Solanum lycopersicum: one gene and its partner. The protein of the gene in region 1 interacts with the protein of each later gene in a pairwise test. Links are inferred from orthologs where the notes say so. Each region holds a gene or a part of one and is shown in the gene's direction. Other genes may lie near its edges.

Region 1 (3,088 bases):
TCTTCCCTTGGTCAGAAGCTACATTATTTGAAGTTGGATGGTGGTCCTGAAGGCAACAACATTTGTAGGTTGACCATTCCAAGAAGTAAGAAATGTAGTGTCACAATGCTGATTGGGCACTAATGTTATGTGCAAAATCAGGTGCCTTTTACTAGAGCTAAGCGGTAAAGACAGATGTTTAAGATGAGATAGTAACTCATTGAATTTTAAGGGGACTATACCTGAATCATTTGCATGTTCTATCTTTCACTAGAATTTAATAGGGTAAAGAGCTACATGAATTGTTTGTGTTTGAGGATTTGTACATTCGATAGAGCTTAGGTTTCTTGTTACCTGGATGACATATAATTGTGCTGTCGATCTTCAGGTCCAAACCAGTTTGCTCATGTCTACTGCGGGAACTGCCGTATGATGCTGATGTATCCATGTGGAGCTCCATCGGTTAAATGTGCAGTATGCCATTATATTACCAATGTTAATGTGAGTATGATGATTCATTTTTCTTTTTGATCTTTGGTAAAAATTTTAGCTGATGCTTGGTCCATATAGTTAAAGAAGTAAAATAACAAAGAGGAATGAATTTTAAGATTGTGCTTTTGGTAATGAGAATTCTATTTTGTGCGTAATATAATATTTACTTACTTTGTTAGGATCAGAGAATAGCCAACTACCATATTGTCTTAGTTTAATTACAATTTAAAGTGAGAATATATATCAACTTGACTGTAAATAAGTGATAAAATGAGTGTATGAAAGACTTGTCTTGCATGCATTGGTTGGTGTAAACACCAGTGCGGGTAAGTTTTTTTATTTTGTTGCTCAAGGGTGATGCAAATCAATCAAAATGACAATGTTGAGCCTTTTATGTAAATAGTAAGATTTATGATATTAGAATGATCGGAATTGAAGAAGATAAGAAGGGAATAATTAGCACAGTGAACATGTTGTTGTTGATGCTTCAAAATAGCCAATTCCCGAGTCATTGTTACTCATGGAGAATTGTTGGGTTTGTCTCTGTTTAAGCTGCTCTTCTCTGGTTCTTCCTTCTCCACTTAATAGTCTGAACCTATAGGAATCAGTAGATTATAGCGATTAGCCTTGCTTCATATCATGGATTGTAAAGCAAGTAAATTAAATTGAAAATCGTCAGCACATTTCGAGGACTTTCACATAAAGCAAAGTGTTAAGAGTGGTTTAATCCTTATGAAAGTTTAACGGAGAAGGCTTATGTTGGAAGGTAAGTTTATCTTGAGCTTTTGATATCAGCATCATCAGCCCACTTAAATACAAACTTATTTTGAACTTTTAGTTGCAAATTTTAGAAGTTATTGATATCACAGATTGTGGAAAAAGAAGGGGTAAGTGGGTGAGTGAGGAAGCAAAATAAGGTCTTTTGGTTACTAGTCCATTGCTTATGTTATTTGCGTATGTATCGGAATACAACAAGAATATGCTCAGTGTAATCCCATAAGTGGAATCTGGTTAGTGTATACACAGCCTTACCCTTACATTCCGAAGGTAGAGAAGTTGTTTTTGATAGACCTTGACTCAAGTAAAGCATATCGAAATCAGTAAGAAAAGGAAATGCAGTAGTGAAGAAGCCATGTAGAAAATAATGGAGAAAAGAAACAAATAATATGATAACTAAAAGAAGGAAACAACAGGTACTAGTAGAATTGAAGAATAAGATAGTAGGAGAGTAATAATAATAATATTGATAAGAGAGACTAGACAACATGCGTACATGAATATGATAAGGAATTTCAGTTTTCATGTGTTTATATGTATTTTTTTGCAGGCAGGAGATGGAAGAGCCCATGCACCTTTGAACCCTCCTAACGGCACTGCTACTACTGCTTCAGGATCCTCTTCAACTGTGAGTTCATAAGTCTGCCGCATGTTCTTTTCTTACTTACTAGGTTCTAAATTGACTAAATTGATTTCTGAAATATGTTCATATCTGCTTTAGGCCAAGGCTCGTTCACAAAATCAAACTGTTGTCGTCCAAAACCCAATGTCTGTCGATGAGAGTGGCAAGTTGGTAAGTTTGTTTCCAACATGATTAACCTCCTTTCATTTATATCTTTTGGCTTCTTCACTCTCAAGTTATCCACCTTATCATTAACGATACCATTTTACATTTCTAGGTGAGTAATGTAGTTGTTGGTGTAACAACAACATCATAGCTCGTCTGCTAAACTTGCTGTTCGTGGACAACAATTGAGAGTTTTGCTCGCAACAATTGGAAAGAGGAGAATAAAGACAGCCGCTGCATATAAATATGGTAGTGTTTAGTGTTAATACTACAACCATACCCCTGTTTTTCTTTTGTTAACATTTTGATATTATGATTGTGGGGTGATTGAAGCTACTACTACTAGTGTTGTGACTATTTGGAGTCTGTAATTGATAACTACGCGTTAGATTTGTGGCGTGCTATGCCCAAAGTCATAAGTGAAGAATGTTATTATGTACCTTATATGCCATATTATTGTATATGACTGTATACCGTGAACCTTACTGCCTAAACACCTTGCTTTTGAGAGGCGAATTCAGGATCTAGAGACTAGAGTTAGTGAGCTTTGAATGAGTGCGGTTTTTATTAGATGTATGCATCTTTTCCCTTGTGCATGTGTGTAATGGCACCTGCAGACTTGTCTGGAATTTGTCTCCAATTGTTATGAATATGATATGGTTTTCTTCAAGAGAAATCTCACTTCGTATAAAATCATAATTGTAAGAGGGCAAGAAATCTCATTTCCTTATTTGCCTCTGCCCCTCGAAAGTAGTCTCTGGTTAAAATACGAGAACGAAAAGGAGGGGGCGGGGGTAGTAGTAATTTTTCTTTTTTTAAATTCCTTCTTCCTCCTCCCTATATGTCTTCCTTTTATTCCCAACTACTTTGCCCTTTGGTATCTTCTTTAAGTTGAAAACTTGTTTATACAACTCAATATATATATATATAATAGCATGATTTTGTTCAACAACAAAAGTAATATGGTACAACACTTCTCACAAGGTCCAAGAGTAACTTTATTTTGAAAAAAAATTTACTTTCATAATCACCTTACAAGTATATTCGGTGGGT
Region 2 (4,502 bases), on another chromosome or scaffold:
ACAAGTATGTGGACGTATCGAAACTCACCAAAATCCGTTAAAATTCGTAATGTTGCAAACTAACGTGTATCTAACCAATTAGCTTCCGAACTAGCGAAATTTCTAGAAATTATCCTTATTTTCACCGACCAAAATCATATATTTTTAAATTTATTTTTTTATTAGTTGTAGGTGAAATTCAAATATTTTTTCTTTTATTTTAAACTAGGTATTGTAGGTGAAAGTCAAAACATATATTTTCTTCTATTTTAAGAAATTCTAGTTAAAATACGAAAAAAGGTTCTAGTAAGCAAACTAAGTTTATATTGTAGGTGCAATTTTATTGGTAACACAATGCATAAAAATGATCCTCAATTTGGCGTCAGATAACAATTATGATTTATTAACTTTTGATGTGAACAAGTAGATATTTAAATTTGTATAAAATTAAATAAATAGACAGATTCGTCCTACATGGCACTGTACATGACAATTTTGTGCCATACGTGGCGTCCTACATGCATTATTTCATGTAGAACACATGTATCTACTTGTTCAATTTTATATAAATTTAAGTGTCTACTTATGCACACTCAGAATTGAAGGATATAATTATCCATTAAAATCAAATCAAAAATCATTTTTATGTGTTATGCCTTTATTGTTGACACCTTTGAAAATAATGAGTAATTTCATGTATAGTAGCTGGCTACCTGCTAAAAGAAATTGTGGACGTAATTTCTTGATTGATATTTTTACCTAAAAATAAGTTGATAAAAATTCAAACACCATGAATTATTTTTTTAGAATTTGAATTATAAACGAGTCAAAGTCATATTATTTTTTTAGTTTTTTTTTTTTAACTATATGTTCAAACTATAGGAATTTTCAAATAAAAGTCACTGTGTTGTGATTTTTCTGTATTTTAGCTTGAATACAAGTAGAGAATTTTATTATTCAAAAATTGTTTTTACTGTACAATAAAAATGATTAATTTGTTCTAAATGCTCATTTCGTTACGAAAAGTCCTTTGTTATTTTTTTCTTTTCAATAATAATTAATTCATTGATTACACATCAATTCCAAAATCAATTTTTTTCTAGAAACCAAATTAATTAATTAATTATTCATGCAATTACAAAATGCACAAGGAGACCATTTAAATGGAGCGATCAAAATAGAATGGAACATTTCAGTATTGACTTTCCATAATTTTTAAAAAATAATAAATAATAAAAGTAATATTACCAAATCACCCTTTGAATGTATTGAATTTAACAATTTGGAAACTGTAGTAGATGTTGAATATTATTTCCGTCCATTTTATTTGTCTTGATTTTTTTTCGAGAGTCAAACTAAAATGTTTTTTTGATTAACATTTTATGATGTGTTTTTATCATATTGCAAAAATTGCTAGTTATAGTACTTTTTGAATATTTAACGTATCGAATTAATTTAATATAATTTAATTTTAAAAATTAATTAAATTAATTTTCGAAAAATATAATATGACAAATAAAAATAAATAAAAAGCGTGATATTTAATAGCAAGGTTTTACCAATACAAAAAAAATTATCTCTTCAATTTATTAAATAAAACAAATAATATTAAATAATTATTTTTAATATAATAAACGAATAATGATCCATTCCTAGTTTCCTTCGTTATAGATAACGTCAAAGTTAAACGATAAATACACGGCGATTTATTAGTCAATTTTTTTTTTTAAGAAACCAAATTAATTAATTTGCCCCCCTATAAACGCTACAACAATTCTACAAACGCGTAGTGTGCAAAATAAATAATTCTGAATTTTATTTATTTTTATCACATAGTAATAATCAACATCAATTTGATCACCGGAGATGGCGAAGTTCGAAGAGCCGGCGATCGGAATTCCTTACAACCCGTCGGCGCCGTACCAGGCTCCGATGCCGCAGCAATTTCAGCAGCAATACTATGTAGGTCAAAATCCTTATCAAGCAGGTATGGTTCCACCAAACGCCATTTATGGAGATCCTAAAGGAATTCCGATTCAACAAACTATTTACAGAGATACACCTGCTCCTTTCAATTGCCTTCACTGTGGCAACACCGGTCTCACCCAAGTCAAGTAATTCTTCTCCCTTTTTAACCTCTTTAAACCCTTTTTTGGGAGGATAATTGTAATTTGCAGCTTTGGTTCCCTGTTACTCTTTATTGTTGTTGTTGTTCTGTAGTCTAGAACTTATTCGGCATGTTATTGAAGCGAAATCAAAGTATTGCTAGTTTTAGATGATGATTGTAGGGTTTCGTTGTTACGTTATGCGTATTTTAGTATTTTAAGATATTGTATCAGTAGTTAGTATACTTGTGTTTGTAACGTTTCGTTTGATGTATTAATTTTGCCTTGATTGATCTATATTACAAAGTGGAAGTTTTCTTTTGTTTGTCTGCAATGTGTGTGCAACTTTGTTGTTCTATTCATGATATGATTTTTTGGTGATGAATTCTCACTGAAAGCTAATTCACCTTACCTTTATCAGCGAATTTATCAGTATTCTAAATGAAAGTCGAATGGTTAAACCTTTTTTTTTTTTTGGGATAATTGCAATTTGCAGCTTTGGTTCTTTGTTACTCTATATTGTTGTTCTGCCATTGGTAGTATAGAACTGGCTCGGCATGTTATTGAAGCAAAATCAAAGTATTGCTAGGTATAGATGATGATTGTAGGGTTTCATTGTTACTTTATGTGTATTTTAGTATTTTAAGGTATTGTATCAGTAGTTAGTATACTTGGGTCAGCAAAAAGTTAAATCTCCCAAACCTAGAAAAAAAGAAGGAAAAGTTAAATAGATAAACAGGTATCTGTTTCTCTGGTCCTCTAACTGCATCGCAGTTTAGTTGGATAAGAAAGATATGGAAGAAGTTTGGAGGAGAATACCCCTTTTGCACACCTGCTACCTTTAACTAATGCAGGGTGGAATAGTTTTATACATATTGGGTTAATGGGGCATGCAAAAACATTCTGTGTAGATAAATCTTGGTGGAACCATGGAAAACTTACAATCACGTTTCATTCTATAACTGATATCTGGATTATAGTTTGTAACTAAACAGTGCAGCTTTTTCTCCTTTCCTTCTGGATCCTTAAGCAAACGCAGTCCCTATCCCACCTTCGTTGATAAGAGGTAACAAGTGTGAGACTTCAGTATTACGTCAGGGGTCTATCTTCATCTCTTGTAACTTATATTTATTAGTATTACTTTTGCACTTCATGTGACTACTGTTAGACCATGTTTATGCAGATATTGTTGGTGACAAGGCTTTATTATGTCCTTTCATATGAGATGTGTATATCTAAGTAAATAGTATACTGAAGTATGAGCATGAGAATTCATTCCTGAACTTTGTTAATGGTCTAGTTTATTCCTGAGTTAATTGTACCACTGATTCTTTTGACAGCTACTTAAACAAGAACTTCGATGTTAAACATAATTAAGAGATTTTGAAATTCTTCCATAGTCGAGAACAAATAGTAAGCAGTCAACCCCCTTCTTCTTAGCTTCCGAAGAAAAACGTGAACATTCTTCTCTAGATTCTTTCATTGGCTAATGGGGATATCCAAAAAGGGTTTCTTGTGGTCCTAAAGATGCTAAAGACCTTGGTGGGCAGAGTAACTCGTGTATCTTTGTTGGTGGAGGTAGCAAGTACACAGTGAAATAGTCCAGGTGCGGTAACAGAACACCACATTATTGAAAGGAAAAGGAAAAGGAAAAAAAAAGGATGTTTAAGAAACAGACTGCCGCAATAGCAATACTTACCGAGACGTGTGATTTTCACTGCGTTTACAAATTACGCCTTAGACAGAGACATTGCTGTTCTCCTCTGTTAATGGCCTACTAGAGTTGACTTACCTTTCTCAAAAAGTTTCTCTACCATAATAGCAATTCTAAGAGTACATAAGTGCCTGTTAGGGTAAAAAGAAATCTGATTTCCATTTTCCAATCCCAGTGGTTTCACATTATAGTGACAGGCCCATGTAGGAAAATTTCATGGCTGAAGTCCATCACATCCAATAGGTAGAAGACCAAACTTACAAATTACAAAAGGTAGACTATCCATATGACAGTGTAACACATGCTTAGCATGAATTTTTTCGTTGACTTTGTAACTGACCAAGTTTAATGTGCAAGGAGCAGAGATAGATTAGAGATCCACATACATACATTCATACATCTATATATAAAATGTGTATGCTGTGCTGCGCATATGTTTGAATATCATGTTGCAGCTCATGGTTGATTCAGCTGAGTTGGCTTGCATACCACTGGCAGCAAAAACTTTATGGCACTCTAGCAGCAATTGAACTTGTATATGCAATTCCCAACTTCTCTATTTTGTGAATGTTGAAGCAACCTGTAATTCAGCATTAGCAATATGTGCCTTCTAGATCCATATTTATGTTCTTAACTTCTCTTTGCAGTAACTAATAAAAAAATTGTCTTCGTGGCATAAGCGATGTTTTGTTGCAACAAACAAC

Evidence for each region.
Region 2: the proteins of protein LSD1 (region 1) and GSH-induced LITAF domain protein interact in binary tests that used the Arabidopsis thaliana proteins (3 or more experiments, as listed by UniProt). The link is inferred for Solanum lycopersicum from reciprocal best matches to the Arabidopsis thaliana genes LSD1 and GILP.

What each region holds. Positions count from the first base shown.
Region 1 is NC_090801.1:55,751,841-55,754,928, forward strand, and holds the end of protein LSD1, read left to right. Parts: intron 1-367; coding exon 368-480; intron 481-1,798; coding exon 1,799-1,876; intron 1,877-1,969; coding exon 1,970-2,041; intron 2,042-2,147; coding exon 2,148-2,186; 3' UTR 2,187-2,529; downstream 2,530-3,088.
Region 2 is NC_090800.1:4,585,192-4,589,693, forward strand, and holds the start of GSH-induced LITAF domain protein, read left to right. Parts: upstream 1-1,633; 5' UTR 1,634-1,845; coding exon 1,846-2,093; intron 2,094-4,502. UniProt on the Arabidopsis thaliana protein: Acts as a membrane anchor, bringing other regulators of programmed cell death (PCD) to the plasma membrane. Negatively regulates hypersensitive cell death.